Mus musculus: one gene and its partners. The protein of the gene in region 1 interacts with the protein of each later gene in a biochemical or structural test. Links are inferred from orthologs where the notes say so. Each region holds a gene or a part of one and is shown on either strand. Other genes may lie near its edges.

Evidence for each region.
Region 2: of the proteins of Casp8 (region 1) and Bcap31, one has a biochemical effect on the other in vitro, tested with the Homo sapiens proteins (2 studies listed by BioGRID, with this or other methods). The link is inferred for Mus musculus from reciprocal best matches to the Homo sapiens genes CASP8 and BCAP31.
Region 3: the proteins of Casp8 (region 1) and Dedd form a complex in vitro, tested with the Homo sapiens proteins (2 studies listed by BioGRID). The link is inferred for Mus musculus from reciprocal best matches to the Homo sapiens genes CASP8 and DEDD.

The regions. Positions count from the first base shown.
Region 1 is NC_000067.6:58,820,727-58,828,359, forward strand, and holds part of Casp8 (caspase-8), read left to right. Parts: intron 1-3,188; coding exon of another isoform or gene 3,189-3,216; coding exon 3,217-3,521; intron 3,522-6,480; coding exon 6,481-6,586; intron 6,587-7,633. UniProt on the Homo sapiens protein: Thiol protease that plays a key role in programmed cell death by acting as a molecular switch for apoptosis, necroptosis and pyroptosis, and is required to prevent tissue damage during embryonic development and adulthood.
Region 2 is NC_000086.7:73,713,405-73,717,399, reverse strand, and holds the start of Bcap31 (B-cell receptor-associated protein 31), read left to right. Parts: upstream 1-1,195; 5' UTR 1,196-1,282; intron 1,283-2,471; 5' UTR 2,472-2,515; coding exon 2,516-2,607; intron 2,608-3,995. Other genes in the region: Abcd1 (ATP-binding cassette sub-family D member 1), read right to left, coding at 1-369. UniProt on the Homo sapiens protein: Functions as a chaperone protein. Is one of the most abundant endoplasmic reticulum (ER) proteins.
Region 3 is NC_000067.6:171,337,002-171,344,991, reverse strand, and holds the end of Dedd (death effector domain-containing protein), read right to left. Parts: intron 6,741-7,990; 5' UTR 6,677-6,740; coding exon 6,352-6,676; intron 6,170-6,351; coding exon 6,062-6,169; intron 4,800-6,061; coding exon 4,653-4,799; intron 4,422-4,652; exon of another isoform or gene 4,165-4,421; coding exon 3,788-4,164; 3' UTR 2,491-3,787; downstream 1-2,490. Other genes in the region: Nit1 (deaminated glutathione amidase), read left to right, coding at 1-78, 453-704, 825-928, 1,165-1,298, 1,429-1,554, 2,195-2,461. UniProt on the Homo sapiens protein: A scaffold protein that directs CASP3 to certain substrates and facilitates their ordered degradation during apoptosis. May also play a role in mediating CASP3 cleavage of KRT18. Regulates degradation of intermediate filaments during apoptosis.

The DNA of each region.
Region 1 (7,633 bases):
ACTGTCATGAACACATCTGTCTCATAGTCATATGATCTTTGATGATGAAATAATATTAAATGCCATATTCTGTGAATCTCTGATGCTTTTGAAGACTATCTAAACATATACCATAACAGAATTGTCAAACATCCATTACTCTTAGCTATTTACTATTAAAATAATCTTGAAAACACTTGTAATTAACTAAATTAGAATCTAATAAAGCCATGAATTTCAGTATCTGACTTGCATCACTTAATCATCCTAAACAGTTTGTAACAGCAGCTATTAAAAGGACTGGATCTAAGCCTTGTATTCTTAAATGAGTTACATAGGCATAATGCCTATCTAAGAGTAACAATATTAATTTTAAATTTTGTACTAATATACAAAGATTTATACCAATGAAAACCTTAAACCTGTATCAATATATATAAATAGTGTAACAATGTAAGAATTAAAACTTCAATTTTGTATCAGATATAAAGGTTTCTACCAATGTAAGATTATGGTGATTTGATGCTTTGTTTAAGTGTAAATTTAATATCCTATCTCTATCTGTCCATTTGACTATATTTCCCCTTCCCTTTCCATCTTCCTCTCTTTACCTAAGAAGGAAGGATAGAGAAGAGGAAACGAAAGGTAGAAATCCCTGAGTCTAGGCTCTCTAGTTTCCTCCCTGTCCAAAGTCACACTTGTAAGTTATCCACTAAGATGACAATATATCTATAACTTATAAAATAGCCAGAACTATCCACTCCAACCTAAGGGACTGGGACAACAATCTTCTTTTGTTTGCTTCTAGCTAAATTGGGGTGAGGAATTCCCTTCTGGGGGCCCAAAGGGGAATAGGAAAATTGGTCTTGTCAAAGGCAGACTAGCTGGCATCATTTGCCTTTCGGTCTCTATGTGCTGAGAAAGTTTATGGCTTAGCTGAAGTCCTGACTGTAATAGTCTGAAAGGCTAGATGAGTGAATTAGCTGTTCTGAAACTGTCCTGGAAGCAAGTCTTTAGAGGAAACAGCTCCGATGTAGTTGAGGTAGAATCAAGCAAGGAGCTGGAATGGAAGGACCTGGAATCTCAGCGTCCCCGAGTGTGAATCTTGTCAGGGTTGTCTCTCTCCTCTTTCATTCTTCAGTATACAAACCTTACAAGCAACTCGTGGGCTCTGTAAAGACATTCATGTGGAACGTGCAGGGTGCACAGATTAATTAAGGAAGATCAATAAAGAAAGACAACTGCCTTTCTTCAGAGGTTAGTTTGATCACATAATCAAAATACAATATAAATAGCTATTCCTGCCATCTTAAAGGATGGTAGCTAATAAAAAGTTATGAAAATTTTGTGCTCAACAAGTGTTATTGGCTGTATATAGACAGTTATATCTCAGCAGGTCCCAGAGCTGTCTCTGTGTACAGAGTCATATATACATCACCACATATACATCACTTATCTTGTTGATCTTGTCAATCTCCTTTTGTCTGTAGCCAAGGTCTTTAGGGGGTTCTCCCCTTGTCATGTCTGATTTTTATCAACTTGGAAGGAACTCATAGCTTTTCTTTTCCTGTGGAAATATAGGCAAAACCTCTCCCCCAGAGTTAGAAGATCTTTAAAGTAAACAGGCTGGTCTAGCTCAGCGGGTTTTCCCCACAATCCAATGTCTTTCAGCAGCTATATTTTTTTGTTCATTACCATTTTAAAAATTTAAGGTTAATAAAACACTATGAAATCTATTTCTGAGAGTCTTTGTTACCCCCTTTTGTCTGATAAGCATCTCTTTTAGAGTACAATTAGATCTTTCCACAATTGCTTGTCCTGTAGGATTATGTGATACGCTTGAAACATGTTTTATATAATAATATGTTAAAAACTTTTTTCATCTTATTAGACACATATGTCGGACCATTTTCTGTTTTAATTTGTATGAGTATTCCCATCATGGCCACAACGTCTAACAAATGTGTAATTACAGAATCTGCCTTTTCTGAAGCTAAAGCAGTTGTCCATTGAAATCCTGAATATGTGTCTATTGTATGATGCACATATCTTAGTTTACCAAACTCTATAAAATGGAACACATCCATTTGTCAAATTTCATTTCTTTGGGTACCTTTAGGGTACTTCCTGGAGGTTAATGGAGTTTGGTTATGTAATGAGCAAGTAGGACATTGCCTCACAATTTCTTTGGCTTGTTGTCAAGTGATAGAGAATTCTTTCTTTAAACCTTTGTTGTTAACATGGTGATTTTTATGCAATTTCGAAGCCTCTAGTAGGCAGGTCTGTGGTGTATTTTCTTGGTCACGATTGATGTGGAAGGCCCTGCTCACTGTGGGCAGTGCCACTGATGGTCTTGGGTGCCACAGGAAGGCAGGTGGAGCGAGTTACGAGGAACAAGGCAGTAAGCATTGCTCCTCCATTCTCTGCATCCGTTTCTGTCTCCAGGTTCCTGCCCTGACTTCCCGTGGGTGATGGACTCTAAAGCTATAACAGTAAATGAACTTTTTCTTCTCCAGGTTGCTTTTGGTCATGATGTTTTTACCATAACAATAGCAACAAACTGAGACAAGCTCCATGACCAGGGGTTTCTCTTTCTTGGAAGTTGGTGTGGCTTTGTTTGTTAGTAGCTGAATGTTACTTGATGTTACCCCAGATTCACAGCTTCAGGAGAAAGGTAGACTTCTACCCTTCATTTAACACACAAAGACATGTAAAATACTCTGAGGAAGCAGCTTCCCGAGGCAGAGTGGCCAGTGATACAGCCAGGTTTCAATCTAGGAGGAGCCCGTGTTCCCAGCCAGGACTCTTACTATCTTCCTGCAGAGTCATCAACAATCTAGTCTAGCCTCTTTGGGGTTGTTCTACTGAACTCTGGTGTCTGTCCAATTTGTCTCCGCATTTTGTATGCACTTTTCCTTTAAGAGCCGCTTTTCTTGCCTCCTCCCCAAAGGTGTCTTGCCCTATTCCCAAGACTGTTAAGGCACCTAGGAGGTGACTATCTGACCAGTGGCTTTCTGTATATTCACCTCTCTAAACAAAAGCTTCCGAGAATCAGGAACTTCCTGTTTTGTTTCCTGTTATTATTCTCCATTTTTTTTCCTTCTAAAGTGTCTGGAATATGGTAGATGCAGTTAGTTTTTGACAGGAAACAAGCTGGTAGCTGACACTTAACTTCCTCACTTGATCATTAGCATCTTGTGTTGACCCAGGTTACAGCTCTTCTACCTCTTGATAAGAATGGATTTCCAGAGTTGTCTTTATGCTATTGCTGAAGAACTGGGCAGTGAAGACCTGGCTGCCCTCAAGTTCCTGTGCTTGGACTACATCCCACACAAGAAGCAGGAGACCATCGAGGATGCCCAGAAGCTATTTCTGAGGCTGCGGGAAAAGGGGATGTTGGAGGAAGGCAATCTGTCTTTCCTGAAAGAGCTGCTTTTCCACATCAGTCGGTGGGACCTGCTGGTCAACTTCCTAGACTGCAACCGAGAGGAGATGGTGAGAGAGCTGCGGGATCCAGACAATGCCCAGATTTCTCCCTACAGGTGGGTAGAAAGGCTGTGGTGGGGGGACTGGGAAGTGTGGGCTGAAGGGGGCATGCCCCTGTGACATGTGTGAAGTGACTTGTGAGACTGCGGGCTAAATGTAGGGGCTAAATACATAATTCAGAGAAACATGCTAAAGCCATAAAATAATGTATCTTTCATACAGCATGGTACAGAAAGGGACTTATGAGGAGGAAAAGGGATTTGGCTACAGGAGTCAGAGAGAGACCAGTGTAGGGGAATATGATTCTGTGTGGAGTAGTTACTTTGCTGTTGCTGTGGAAAAATACCACGACCAAAAGCAATTTATAGAAGAGTTTATGTTGGATTACAGTTCCAGAGTGCTAATGCCGGAGATAAGATGGTAACTAGCAGGCAGGGCAGCAGGGGCAGGGAGCTGAGAGTTCACATCTGCCATGCACACGGGAAACAGAAAGTGTGACCCGAAAGCTGGGTGAGGTCAAACCCCTCAAAGTCTGTGCCTGGTGATCATGATGTGCTTCCTGCTGCAAGGCTCTGCGTTCTAAAAGCTCCATAACCTCTCCAGACAGCCTGGGACCAAGTGTTCAAATACATACGCCTAGGAAGGACCCTGTTCATTCAAACCACCACAATGTATAATTTAAATTTTTCATTTTTCAAAGTGAAACATTACCTTCTAGTATGCTGATAGTGAGATTTTTTTAAAGATTTTTTTAATTTTTATTTTACGACATAGGTATTTTGTTTACCGATGTGTCTGTACAGCATTTGCATGTAGGCTTCCTGCAGAGGCCAGAAGAGGGCATTAAATCACCTGGACATGGAGTTATAGACAGTTGTGAGCTGCCATGTAGGTGTTGGGAATTGGACCTGTGTGCTTGGAAGAGCCATCAGAACTTTGTTTGTTTGCTTGTTTCACTATTTATTTATTTTTATTTATTTTACATCCTGATCAAAGCCCCCTCCCTTTTCTCCTCCCAGTCCTGCCCTCCCACCGCCCTTCTCCCTCCCCCACCCCACCACCTGCCCTGGCACAGTAAGTCACAGCAGGAGACTAAGTGCATCCTCTCTCACTGAGGCCAGACAAAGCAACCCAGGTAGAGGAAAGGAATCCAAAGGCAAGCAACAGAGTCATAGGCAGACACCTCCCTCACCTCTGTGCCTGCTCCAGTTATTGGAGAACCCACATGAAGACCAAGCTGCACATCTGCTACATATGTGGGGGGGCGGGGGCTAGGTCCAGCCCCATATGCTCTTTGATTGGTTGTTCAGCCTCTGTGAGCCCCCATGGGTGCAGGTTAGTTGACTCTGTAGGTCTTCGAGTGGTCCCCTTGACCCCTCAGGCTCTTTCAATCCTATCCCCCACTCTTCCACAAGACTCCCCGAGCTCTGCCTGATGTTTGGCTGTGGGTCTCTGAATCTGTCAGTTGCTGGATGAAGCGTCTCCGAAGACAGTCATGTGAGGCTCCTGTCTGCAAGCAGAGTTTCAAATAAGTATTTTAGCTCTTCCTCTTCTTTCTTGTTAAAGAAAGTTAAGATGACAGAGGTTTAAAATAGTCTGGGGACACTAAGGAGAACAAACCAGGATTCCAGCAGGCTATGTGGTAGCTGCTTCCACCAGCCAAGAAGGACTGGGCTCTGGAGAAACAACAAGGCATTGTTGCCCTTTCCCCCACGTAACCTGAGTAACTTTGTAAGTAGTCCCACATTTATACATGTTCTGATGTAGAAATTGTAATATCTGATGTAACAAATTGTAACAGACAGGATTGTGGGTAATGATGACTTCTAAGAGAGTCTCTGTCTATCAGGGAAAGGACCACCCAGCCTGCCCCTGGACTGGGCAAGGGGAGGGAAAATGGAGAAGTCTAGAGGTGTGCTCACTTTCAGGGATGTTTTCTCACCTCCTGAAATAAGCTGGAAATACTTTGCATTACACACGCTGCAGGGTGAATTCTCAGGAACTTAAAAACCGAGACTGCAGGCCTGGATCAATAAGAAGGCAGATTCACACATCGGTGACACACATGTATCTTGGTGGCTCACATTTAAAGACACAGAAGGGTTCCATATGCATACACAAGCAGGTGGGAAGGGTTGTCACTGTGGGAAGCAGCAAGACCCTAACCATGAACAAACACATCTTGCCCAGCCTGGAAGTGGCCACCTTCTGTAACCAGGCAGGACTTCCAGTGGAGGGATAGAGACGCCAGCCCACCCACAGAATTTTGTCCTGCCTACAAGATGTGTTTGTAGTCTGGGGCCCCTGCACTCAAACATTACACCTCACAAATCTCAGGTTAATGAAAAGTGAAAAAGGCATGGGCCAGGCTGTTAGGGGACTTGGCAGTTTATAAACAGGCTGTTGCCATATGTGAGTTCTTTCAGGGGCGGGGGTGGGGGGTGAATGAAGATTTAGTGAGAGAACAGAGCCCCGAGGACTCCCTGGCAACTAATGAGATTGCAGGTGGGCAGTGGATGCATGCAAGGAGACACAGGGAATGTATGGTGGGGAGAGCACACGGCAGCTGGCTGTGTTGAGAGCCTTGGGTGTTGGTAAGAGTGGAAAGAGGTGTGTGTGTGTGTGTGTGTGTGTGTTCAGAGTCCCTTTTATTCTAGAACCAAATATTCAGCCTCCTCCTGAAGGAAATTGCTGAGAGAACATGGACCAATGCTTAGAAGGGAGTCAGCTCTGTTGTGCACCATGGAGAATATAATTCCCCCAAATCCTCGCATCTGGATCTTGATTTTTATATCGACATAGGAGCAGGGAGATTCTTTTAGTTGAAGTTAGTTGGTTACAAAGGTGGTGGCACTTCGCATGGGTGGGTTGGTTGGACCTGACTCTATAGACTTCCACCAGTCAGGAATAGTTGACTATTTTAAGGAAGCCCTGGGAGTGAGCCCTGCTGTGACTGTGTAGTGGTGGGAAATGATCTAGAACGTGTTTCTAAAGTGCCTCTGTTTCCTGCCACAGGGTCATGCTCTTTAAGCTCTCAGAAGAAGTGAGCGAGTTGGAATTGAGATCTTTTAAGTTCCTTTTGAACAATGAGATCCCCAAATGTAAGCTGGAAGATGACTTGGTAAGACCTAATCTCCTGAAGATGGGTCACCTCTGGGGTTTCTGAGACCAGAGAGCCCTGCTAAACATAAATAGTATTCAAGGTTGTGATGGTGTTGTTGTTGTTTTGAAACATGGTATCCTATAGCCCAGGCTAAATCCAAACTTGCTATTTAGCTGTCTTCATTAGAGTTTTCCTGCTGTGAATAGACACCATGACCAAGGCAACTCTTATAAGGACAGCATTTAATTAGGGCTGGCTTACAGGTTCAGGTCCATTATCGTCAAGGCTGGAACGTGGCAGCGTTCAGGCAGATATGGTACAGGAGGAGCTGAGAGTTCTACATCTTCATCTGAAGGTTGCTAGCAGAATACTGGCTCCCAGGCAGCAAGAACAAGGGTATTAAAGCCCACACTTACAAGGCCACACCTACTCCAACAAGGCCACACCTCCCAACAGTGCCACACCTCCCAACAGTGCCACTCCCTGGGCCAACCATGTACAAACCATCACTGTAGCCAAAGTTGACCCTAAACTTCTGATCTTCCTGCCTTTATCTCCTGTTAATGTGGTTCCAGGATGTGGAACTCAGCACTTTCTGCACCGTAAGCAAGCACTCTGTCCACTGAGCAGCCCCTGTCTTCTCACTAGAAGAAAGTAGTTAGATAGGAACAGGTAGGTATGGCTCTAGTGCCTCTGCACAGTGAAGTGTTACTCGGCCACAGGGCCGAGCCAGAAGCCGGAGAGAGCAAGTTGTGCAGTTCAACAATACATGGGACCCAGCAGGGCCAAGGAGAAAAGGTGGCCCAGGGTCACATTTCCCTACTTCTGCTGCCCTTGAAACACGGCGTGTTCGCCCCCTCTCACTCCATCCCGGTGTGTATTATGTGTCTTTATGAGTAGGTTGTATGATGTGTCTGTGTCTACATGTTGTGTATATTGTGGGTGTTTATGTGTGGTGTAGGTGCCTGGGTATACCTCTGTGTGGCTTCTCTGTTGGTCTGAGTATATATGTGTGTGATACCTGTGTGTTGGCGGGGGTTGGGGGTTCTCTCACTCTGTAAATCA
Region 2 (3,995 bases), on another chromosome or scaffold:
TACAATGCAGCGGGCCAGTCTGCCGTCCAGGCGGGCAACATACACAGACAGGAAAGTTCGGCTTACCAGGGCAGCAGAATGCAGGGCCAGCAGCCCTGTTTCCCGGCACAAGACTCGGGGGAACAGCAGCCTCAGGAGCGCCAAGAGCCGCTGCAGGAATACCCGGTTCATGCCAGCCTTGGTTGCGGTGGCTCCAGAGGCCTCTTGAGTGGGCTCCCCAGCTGGCACCTGAGGACCTCTGGCAGGAGTCAGACACTGCCGTACTAGAGGGTAGATTTTGTGGACTCCATAGGCTGTGAGGGCCAGGACCACAGCTGTGCGCTTCAGCGTGGTCACCCGTGAGGGCCGGGGAGTGGAGAGCACCGGCATGTCACCTGGACTGGTGAGCAGGCTGAGGGCTGGAACTGCTGCCTGAGGCTACAGTTGCAGACAGATCCTGGAAGGGTTGTTGCTCTGACCCAGGGCTCGTTGTCTAGGCAACTGGAAACCTTGAAGTGATCCCTGAGACTGTTGCTTTAGGCCCTCGCGGTGGTGCTGGGGCCCCTGGATCGGTTGGGTTAGAATCCTCCAGGGTCGTGGCCTCTTCAGGCAGCCCGGGTGGAGGAACTGGCTTCCCTCTACAGACTGTCCCCTTAGCCCCTGAGGTCAGAGCCTCGAGAGGTCTTAAGGAGAGAGGCTGTGTCTTTCCTTCCACCTCCCTCCTCTTACTGCTCCTCCCCCCCCACCCCCCGTGACGCCCCTCCCCGGGGCACCAGGCGTGTTTGTCCGCTGAGCAGCCCGGCAGTAACGACAGCGTCTACGCCAAGGCCCAGAATCCCCACCCACCTACCCCTCCCCAGGGGTGGTGATGGGGAAGAGGAGGCGGAGTTGAGGCAAGAGGCGGAGTCCGAGTTAGGGGTGCCCCACCCCGTTCTCGCCCTACCGTTGGACCCCTCCCCCTCTCCGACAACAGAAACGAAGCAAGTCCGCGTACACTACAGAAGCGGCCCCAGCCCTCCCGCCAAGGCGCCTCCAAGCTCCACCCCTGCGTGTCCGAAGTGTCAGAGGCGCGGCAGGGGGCCTTCAACCGTCAGCCTCTACTTCCTTTCTAGACCTTGGCAACAGGCCGCGCCTAAGGGCGGGGCGGGAAACGACAATGGGCGGAGCCGTTAGGGGCCTCTAGAGGACTTGTAGGCGGGGCCTGACGCGCGTTTCCGGTTTCCGCCCGCGGGCTAGGGGGCGGGCCTGAGCATTGGTGAGAGTTTGGTAGTTGCGGTGGGGCGTGCGAGTAGGCTGAAGCTCGGTAAGCTGGGTCCGCATGCATGGCTGACTTTCGGACCAACGAGGTTCCCCCCCAGTCCCTTCATGAGGGAGGAAGGCGAGCATCCCAGAAATACTGTGGGTTCTGGGAAGTGTAGGGATCCGGGCCGACTTCGGAGTTTAGGGCAGGATCAGGCATAGGGATGTTGTGGAGGTAGGTGGAGCGGGACTCTAGGGGACGCGAGGACAGGGGCCAGTCCTCCCCACCCCCCCCCAGAAGAGCTGCCCAGGTAGGCCCAGCTCCTCGAAAGCCACCTGGCGCTGTGGACTTGGGCGTTGTGGCTTGCTAGGGATGCAGGGAGGTCCCTTTTTTGGCTTCGGGAGAGACTTTCTGGTTCTGGAACTTTCTCTGGGTAAGGCCTGGACGTGCTCTGTGGAGACCTGTATTTGCTTTTGGCCTGGATTCCCGCCCTCTAGGAGTCGCTCTTGTGGGCCTTTTGAGAGTAAATGGAGGCCTACACCCTGTGCATTCGTGCGAGCATTCGGAAGGCCTATCTAGTTTTCAAAAGCAGCTTTAGAAGGAGGCTGGAGGCTACTAGGGTTATCAGCCCCTCATAAGCTCTGGAGGAAATGGGCCTGCTTTCTTGTGCAGAGGCTTAGGTGGTGGCGTTTGCAGAAAATACATGTATGAACACTGCAGTCCCAGTCCCACTGTAGAAGCGACTGGAAGACATGTATAGCTCCTGGCAGCAGAGGCTTCTACTCTTGGAAGGAAGCCTAATGGGTGCTGAGGTCCTTCTGTTTACGTACTGTTCTTTTGAGAAACATTTTCTTAAACAGGTCTAGCCTTACAAGGGAGCCTGATGGGTGCTGAGAAGGTTCTCCTATTCTTATGAGAAACATTTTCTTAGTTAAACAGGCTTAAGAGTCTCTTGGACGGCCCCGGGGAAAGGAATCATGAACAAAAGTACCTAGTCATAGTAACATACTTGCTGGAGGGGCACAAGTAACTGTCCCAGGCAAGGGAAGTTTGTTGGCTGGCTAGAATCATTGGTCAAGTGTCTGCTGTTGGGTTAAACCCTGTTTCAACCAGGGTTTCAAAAGCTCTGAAGCAGAATCCTGTGGTCTGTTGTGAAGAATAGCAGCCCCAGCCTCTCCAGGGTCCCTGAGCAGTCCCTGTCAGTGACTTTCCAGCTCTCATGGTTCCTCCTGTTTCTTCTGTATCCTGCCAGGAAACAAGCTCCCATCCCTCTGTTGGAACCCTTTAAGTCACAGGATGAGTTTGCAGTGGACTACAGTTGCCACCTTCCTCTACGCAGAGGTCTTTGCTGTGTTGCTTCTCTGCATTCCCTTCATTTCTCCAAAAAGGTATGGCTAGTGGAACAACAAAGCAAGCATATGATGAGGGTGCTATCAAACCCTGAACCTTGTAGTTTCTGTGTGCAAAATTGGTGGACCCTGAAATTGAGGCTATATGGAAACAAGTAAAACCTGTCTTGAGTAAGGGTGTCAGGAGTATGATTTTTTTTTTCTTATCACCAATCTTGAACATTGTCTGGCTTTGTCACCTCGTCATTTGCTTTCCTGTGCACACTGTCTTCTGGTTTTTGCAAAAGAAGATTTGACTTCAACTTTTTTGAGTAATATTCTCTTGCCAACCCTTGGGCCTCAGGGCTGTAGGGGATAATTGTGTGGAAACTTGAATACTTGCACCATTGGCTTACATTGTTGCCGATTTGCTGACTTTTGACCTCCTAGCTAACTCCTACTGGCATTGCTTAGTAGGCTCATGAGCATTACTCAGCCTATGAAGGATGGAAGCTATAGTCCCTTTTAATAAAAAACAGGCTGGGCGTGGTGGCGTACGCCTTTAGTCCCAGCACTTGGGACGCAGAGGTAGTGGATTTCTGAGTTTGAGGCCAGCCTGGTCTACAGAGTGAGTTCCAGGACAGCCAGAGCTACACAGAGAAACCCTGTCTCGAAAAACAAAAAACAACCCAAAAAACCAGGATTTGCTAAACGTTATTTAGATATTGTTTCAATCATTTGTAGTATATCAACACTATTCGTATTTAAATTAGGATTTATAAAATTGCCATAGTTAATAATACCTAAGGAATATTCTTGCTAAAACCCACATTGACATTTAGTTCACAGGAAATACAGTGACCAAAACGCTGGTGGAACTGGAGTCTTGGATACTCTCTAGGACAACTAACTTTGTTCCACCACTTAGGAGGTGAAGGCAGGGTTAGGAGTTCAAGACCTATCTTGGCTACATAGCAAATTTGAGGTTAGCTTGAGCTAAATGAGACCTGGTATGAAAAGGAAAAGGATTACGGAAATGGCTCTGTAAGTAAAATGGTTGCTTGAACAAGTATAAATTCAAAATCTGAGTTTGATCTCTATCATTGATGTAAAATCTGGACATAGGAACACACTTCTGTAATAGAGTGTGGTAGAGGCAAAGATAAGGAGGATCCTAGCCAGTCTAGCTGAATCAGTAAGTTCTAGGTTCAGTGAGACCACTGGGAAAAAAAGAAAGTAGAGAATGATTAGAGAAGATAACCACTTCAAGCCCACACACTCATGCATATGCACAGGTACAAACACACAGAAAAATTGAAAGGAAAAAAAAGCAGGAAGGAGAGACTGATTAAGACCAACTTAAAAGCCGGGCGTGGTGGCGCACGCCTTTAATCCCAGCACTCGGGAGGCAGAGGCAGGCGGATTTCTGAGTTCGAGGCCAGCCTGGT
Region 3 (7,990 bases), about 110 Mb from region 1:
CATCACCAGGCCTCCTCACCAACTCCTGTGTACCGGATACCGATTACTTCGAACCCCAGTACTTTGTACTCAGCCCAGGTAACATATTTCGTAATGTTCTCTCTCTGGCGCATAGCTGCTTAGTTCGTGTTTATTAACTTCATAGTGGGAGACAAAGATATCTCCAAACATGTAATGAGTGAACTCCAGTAGCTCTAGGGTTATTATGCTCTGTAAGAATGAAAACAAGTTGCTGGGGTCACCTGTAATGCCAGCACTCGAAAAAAAGGAGGATCAACCAGGAGTTTAAGGTCATCCCCAGTTACATAGAAAGGCCTGTCTGGGCTACAAAAGACCGTGTCTCAAAAAAGAAAAAAGTCAAAAGAAAATAAAGTTTCTGGCTCCACCCCCACTTGAGCCTCTGAGTTTCTCCTAGATAGAAAATCTGAGGATACTGCCTGTGTCATTCACAGGCCCAGAACCATGTCCTCATCAACTTCCTGGGAGCTGCCCCTGGTGGCTGTGTGCCAGGTAACATCAACACCAAACAAGCAAGAGAACTTTAAAACATGTGCTGAGTTGGTTCAAGAGGCTGCCAGACTGGGTGCTTGCCTGGCCTTTCTGCCTGAGGCATTTGACTTTATTGCACGAAACCCTGCCGAGACATTACTCCTGTCCGAACCACTGAATGGGGATCTTTTGGGCCAATATAGCCAGCTTGCCAGGTACAAGGGTAGGGTTTGGGGGGGGGGGGGTTGTGTGTGTAGAACTCCCTGTTGAGCAGTGTTCCTGGATTGCCACAGAGGGGGTAGAGTTGTGTGTGTCGTGTCCCCCCCCCCCCCCAGGGAATGTGGAATCTGGCTGTCCTTGGGCGGTTTCCACGAGCGTGGCCAAGACTGGGAGCAGAATCAGAAAATCTACAATTGTCATGTGCTTTTGAACAGCAAGGGTGAGACGTCATAGCCCTTAGTTTGCCTCTTCCCAGGCTTCTCTACCTTTCCTCAACTCAGATCTTCAGCATTTCTTTCTCAACTGCTTGGCCTTGGGGTTTTATGCTTCTGTTCTCAGCCTACAAGTTACTCTTTGGGAGAAGAGCTAAGCTGGACTTGTAGAGTGTCTGTACTGAGTATTTTCTCTCTCTCTCTCTCTCTCTCTCTCTCTCTCTCTCTCTCTCTCTCTCTCTAGGATCAGTAGTGGCCAGTTACAGGAAGACACATCTGTGCGATGTAGAGATCCCAGGTCAGGGGCCGATGAGAGAAAGCAACTATACCAAGCCTGGAGGCACTCTTGAGCCACCTGTCAAGACACCGGCTGGCAAGGTGGGAGTTTGGAAAGGAAATGGGACTATGTTGAAAAGTGGTAACACCCCCCATTGGTGCAGGCTAATGAAGGCACTCAGTGTTCTGTTGAATGGGACAGGGAAGATGAGTGGGTTGTTTCTCATTTCAGGTTGGTCTAGCAATCTGTTATGACATGCGGTTCCCTGAACTTTCTTTGAAATTGGCTCAAGCTGGGGCAGAAATACTTACTTATCCTTCAGCCTTTGGATCTGTTACAGGTCCAGCCCACTGGGAGGTAAGAGAATGCCTCTTCATAACATATAGGCCTCCTTTAACCTTACTTTTAGTAGTGGGAGCAGAGTGGTACAAACCTAAATCCAAGCACTTCAGTGGATAGCCACAGGTTCAAAGCCAGCATGCCTTGACTAAAAAAGAAAACAAAATAGAAGCTGGGCAGTGGGGGTGCACACCTTTAATCCCAGCACTCAGGAGGCAGAAGCAGGTGGATCTCTGAGTTTGAGGCCAGCCTGGTCTACAGAGTGGGTTCCAGGACAGCCAGGGCTACACAGAGAAACCCTGTCTCAAAAACAAAAAAGCAACCCACACCTTCAAAGAGTGGGGCATGGTGGTGCATGCTCTTCATCTCAGCACTGTGAGGCAAAGGCAGGCAGATCTCTGTGGGTCTAAGCCAGCCAGGGTTACACAGGGAGACCTTATCTCAAAAGTACAAAACACAAACACTCCTCCTTTCTACTTGATTTTCTTCCTTTTCATCTGGTGAGGAAATTCATTTCTTAGCTAGGTGTGAGTCATGTTAAAGAGTTAGTTATTAACTCTAGTTGGTTAGTGAGAAGATTGGGCCCACAGTGCCCGCTTCTTGTCACTTGCCTATTAAACGCTGTATGTTCTGGAGTCAACGCACGTCTCATCCTCAGGTGCTGCTGCGGGCCCGCGCCATTGAATCTCAGTGCTATGTAATAGCAGCAGCGCAGTGTGGACGCCACCATGAAACAAGAGCAAGTTATGGCCATAGCATGGTGGTTGACCCGTGGGGCACAGTGGTGGCCCGCTGCTCCGAGGGACCAGGCCTCTGCCTTGCTCGAATTGATCTCCACTTTCTACAACAGATGCGCCAACACCTGCCTGTGTTCCAGCACCGCAGACCTGACCTCTATGGCAGTCTGGGTCATCCACTCTCTTAATGCTTTTAACTTCTGTTGGTTAAGACACAGACACAGCCAACTGGGAGGTGATGCTACTGTGACTTGTAGGCAGGACACAAGCACGGTTCCCTTCACTTGCAGAACTTTAACCTCTCTTAATGGAACACAGGCTTAATCAAGTCCATGGGAAAGAAGAGACTTTGACCTGACCTCAGATTTCAGTTTCAGAAAAGTGGGATTTTATATAGTCACTGTTTATTTCATGAAAACTGAAGTTATGCTGAGGGCTGAGCAGCACTGGCATTGAAAAAAAAATATAATAATCATAATGTCTGGACATGTCTTTTGGGGGCTAGAAGGGGAGGTGGAATTGTACCTGCTTGACTGGACTTCACTCCTCAGCCTCCTGCCTCAAACATGCCTCCTTACCTAAGAAAGTGCGGTGCTCAGTGCATGTACTAGTCCTGCTCTCCAAAGGATGGGAGAAGGGAGGGCAGAGGAACAGGAGGAGCTGATACTAAATACCCCACTTTCTCTCAAGCAAGAAGGAAGCAAAGGGAAAGGGCCTTGGGGTGGGGTAAGAGTTATTTTCACTGGAAAAGGGAAGGAAAATGTCATACCCCCCACCCCCTCCTCCTCTTCAGAGAAAGTGTGCTCCAACTAGCAGCCTCTACTCCACTGTCCTGTGTACTGGTGTTCACATACACATCGCAGTTGGGAGGGTGATCGATCAGGCTGGCCCAGTCCTCTGTAAGTTTGCTGAACATTTGACAGGGACAAGGAGGGATCCATACGACAGCAGTTCCCGCTGTGGAATGAAGGAAAGGCAGAGAGGAGCAGCACCAAGGCCAGGAGAGACTGCAAAGGGCCACAGCTTCTCTGTTTTTAAAAAATTCTATAATTTGGAAGAAGGTGGTAATTAATTTCCAAAATACACTTCAGAGTCCCACCTTCCACATAGCTCCTTTACTCACAGCCCTTTGGTTTTTCAGACAAAATTTAAGAGCCCTCATAAAGCCATAAGTATTGATTACCCCTCAATGCACCTGAAAGCAGTGTTCAATCCCTTACAAAGGCTGTGTTCCAGAGACCCTGTCCCTATACACTTGTCTTACGGCTCAGTGGTAAGGTGGCTGTAGACACACAATAGGGTAAGTGGCAACAGGAAACGGGGAAGCCCAGGCACATGGGTGCAGGGAGGGCAGGGACACCACTTCCACCTTCCTTTGTCTTTTCCTTTTAAAAAAAAAAAAAAAAAAAGGCGGTGTGATTGGTTGGAAAGGGTAGAGAACAAACCCCAGAACAGTATGTCAGCTCCAGAGGTGACGGAGCGAACAGTCCCCAGAAAGGTGAGAAGGGGAAAGGTCAGGGTAATGCCTGCAGCATCAAGTTCCTCAGGAGTTTCTGTCGGCCCAGCTCATAGTCCTCCTCATCCACGTTCACCAGCAGCTTGATGGCTTCATGGCCCACAGCTTGCTTGAGAGAGTCTGTGATGAAGACACCTTTCAGTGCCTCTAATAATGAGCCATTAATGTAGTCTCGCCAGAATGCGTCGAGGTAGGTGAGCTCAGAGAACTTGATGTCACAGATGATGGAGCCCAGGTCCCGGGACTTGAGGATAGTGTTGGCCTGGTTAAAGCGCTCAAACTGGCGCTCAAGTGGGTCCTGCTTATTGGAGAAGACATTGCCTTGCAGAGCCGTCTCATGCTGGCAGTATTCCGCCCGAACTCGGAGCCTGATATCTGGGAGAATTTTAAGGAGCATGGTTTATAATGGATTGTGTTTACAACCAAAGCTAGAAAAGCAAGCAAGCAAGGCTGAGACCCTCCCTCTTCTCACAGCTTCTTTACCTCTCCCCAGAACTAGTTCTTCACTGTGTCACTGGTTTCAATTCTGGAGCTGCCCTACAATGCCCTACAATGACTCTGCTCAGGCCACTCACAAACAGCACCTTGTTAGAAGACCTGTCTTATTAAAAAGTTGCACAAATTTACTTTAATTCTGTCTTGACTTGGTTCATCCTATATAAGAATGACGTTGGCATTTCTTTAATAGTAACTAAAAAGATTTGTAATATACCATTGCTGAAAAGAACAGTTCTCATGAAAACTAAACCTGACCTGAAAACAGCAAAGATTGCCTTGCACTGAACTACAGACTGCCCATCATCCCAGGAGTTCTTTATATTTTCCCTCAAGTCTACAACGTTAAAGTCCCTGAATTTCCTTACCACATGTCTGCTTTTCCTTCGGGTCTGGTGTCACCGACTTCCGGCGTTTTCGCTGGCTCCCAAGTGTGGTTCTCCCTCGGGCTGGCCGCTTACTACACATTTGAGAACCCGAAGTGGGGCAGCACACCACAGGATAGTGGGGAGGCACTGAGCAGAAAGTAGGTGGGAAAACACGGTTTGACAAGTAGAACTTCAAATCTTTCATTTGGAATAGACAAAGGAACCATCTAGACTTGAGAATAAAAGTATTGGTGATATAACCTGAAGGCTGAGGGGTATAGCCCAATAATCAATGTCTGTCAAACATTCATGAATATCTGGACTCAGCCCTAGCAATGGGGTGGCAGGTGGCATGCACTAAGTATGGTGGAAGAAATCTATCATCTGAGCACTTAAGGGTGAAGAAAGGAAGCCAGGTGGTGGTGCACACCTTTAATTCCAACACTTGGGAGGCAGAGGCAGAGGTAATGGAATCTCTTGAGTTCAAGGCCAGTATGATCTACAGAGTAAGTTCTAGGACAGCCAAGGCTTCACAAAGAAACCCTGTCTCAAAAAACAAGACAAAAACAAAAACAGAGAAACAAAAAAGGCTAAGGAAGGAAGGCCATCTTGGCCTACACAGGGTTCTGCATTTACCCAAGCTAAATAGGAAGTCCCAAAAATAAAAGTTGGGGCTGCAGAGATGGCTCAGTGGTTAGGAGGACGTGTAGTTCTTGCAGAGGACCCAGATTCACCTCCACAGGCACCAGGTACACACAAGGCACACAAGCAAATATGCAGGCAAACATTCATACAGAAAAAATTTTTTAAAAACTGACCTAAGGTCTGGAGTGATGGCTTAACCTACATGCAGACAGTATACTTTTACACATAAATTGATTTTTAAAAAGTAACCTAAAAGGAGAATAAACACTAGACCTAGACAAAGTATACTTCACCTGCTTTATGTGTGTACATGTTCACATAGATGTGTTCCTATGTGAGTGTGCCTCATGTAAAGGTCAGAGGTCAGCATTAGGTGTCTTCCTCAATCCTCTCACCATCTTTCTTTAGACCAGGGCTTTCATTGAGCCTTGAGTTCAGCAGTGTGCCAAGGCTGGCTGCCTCTATGAGCCCCAGGGATCCACCTGTCTCTGCCTCCAACCCTGAGATTGCAGACACTTTATTACCCAGCTTTTTCTGTGTGGGTGCTGGGAACCTGAACACAGGTCTTCATGAGTATGCAGCTGGCACTTGACCGAGTGAGCCATTTCCCCAGCTCCTGATTGTCTTTAATGGACAGGGACTTTAATGTCTTTAATGGGGTGGATGGAGAGGGACTGTATCCCGTCACTGATGTTGGCGCAGCCACACATGTGATGGGAACAATGTTCTCCTGCTTATGAAAATTACAAGTAGTATCCTCTCACCTGTTTTAGAGGGCTGGGGAGGCCTCGGTTCTGGGTCACTGAGGGCTCTGGGGGTCACATAGCGAATTGATGTTTCCTCCAGATACTTGTCTACAAGATCAGGGCACACTGCAGGAGGAGAAGGAGTCACTCAAGAAAAAGTACATATCTTTCTTCTCCCAAAGGATCTCTGTTCTCCTAGGTATTCCCCAGGTCAAGACCGCCCCGCCCTGTAGACTCTGCACTACTCACTCCTGGCCTCCCACAGAGCTTCTCTTAGTCGTGTGTCCCCAGACCCCATAAGGCCTCACCAGCTCGTCTCTTCTTGAGAGTAACGTAGGGCAGCAAGTCATGGCGAGTGATGATGCGCAGCAGCTGCAGCACCTGGCGAAAGTTACTCTCGTCACAGCGGCCCTGGCGCTCCAGTGCCAATAAGAAGTCACGTCCATTTCGGATGAGTCCACGTTCATGGTCATCAATAACATCAACAAAAAGGAAGGAAAGCACTCGGACATCTCTGTGTGTTAGGTGGGTGCCCACGATGTCGAACATGCGGTGGAGGCTGTAGAGCCCATGTTCTTGCTCCCCACGCTCTTCGGGCCACACCTGGCTTGCCCGCCTCTTTAGGCCCGCCATGCTAGAGGCTCAGAAATAGAGTGCTTTCCAGAATCTCTGCTCAGCAGCTGCAATCTCCAGTGATCTGTAAGATAAGACAAGACCCCATGAGCCATGGGGCCACTGGTAGCCACCAATTTTATTTATCTTTATTATCTTAACGTGCTACTAATGAAGCTCAGCTTAATATGTTTATTAAATATCATAAAGTGTTTATGCTAGGTGTGGTGGCATACGCCTTTCATCTCAGCACTCAGGAGGCAGGGGCAAGTAGATCAGAGTGGCAGAACACTCAGGGCTACAGAGACCCTGTCTCAAAAAAGCAAAAACCAACAACAACAAAAAAGCAAAACAAAACAATGCTAAATGCTTTTCATACTCAACAGACGATGCCCTGAGTCAAGATCCTACAAGGGATACAGTCAGATCCTGGAGTGAGAATGCTTTGTGATTTTAGTACTGCATAGGTCAGACGTTTCTGTTGCAGCTAGGTATGAGAGTATACACCTATAATTACAGCACTCAGGAGCCAGAGGCAGGAGAATTACCCTTAAGTTTGAAGCCATTCTGATCTGCACAGCAAGTTTCGTCCTGTCAGAGATATAAGGTAGACCCTATCTCAAAAGCAAAATAAGCTAGTCTGGTAAAGCTGCCTAAAGCCCCAGCACTTGAGAGGTAAACACAAGGAGGCTCACGAGTTTAAGGCTATCCTCAGCTACAGGGCAAGATCAAAGCCAGCCTGGGCTATATGAAACTGTCTCAAAGTTAGTTGGTTGGTTGGCTGGTTTTTAAATGTTATCCAAATGTTCCTCTTGTCTCCAAAACACTGCTTTTAGTCCCCTGAAACACCGATTTGCTGGGCATGGAGGTACATGCCTGTAGCTAGCATTCAGGAGATTAAGGTTAGGAGGATCGGATTCCAGGAAAACCTGGTCTGTATTCTCAAGTCTTACAGAAACAACAACAAAATATACATAGTAACAGAACAATATCTAAGTGTAGCAGTGTACCCCTTTGAACCTAGAATTCAGGAGGATCTCTGTGAATGGGAAACCAATCTAGTGTTCCACAGAGTTTTAGGCCAGCCAGGGTTAAATAACATAACCCTGTCTCAAAGGGGTTAGAGGTGTTAATGGTTAAGAGCACCAGCCGTTCCTCCAGAAGACCTAAGTTCAATTCCCAGCACCCACAGGGATAGGCTCCATCCACCTGTAACTCCAGCTCTGGCCTGAGACCTCAAGAGGCACCTTCAGTCACACAAATAACTAAATAAAAATTAAATTTCTGGTTTTTAGAATGGTGGTATACAGCTTTAATCCCAGTAAATAGAGGAAG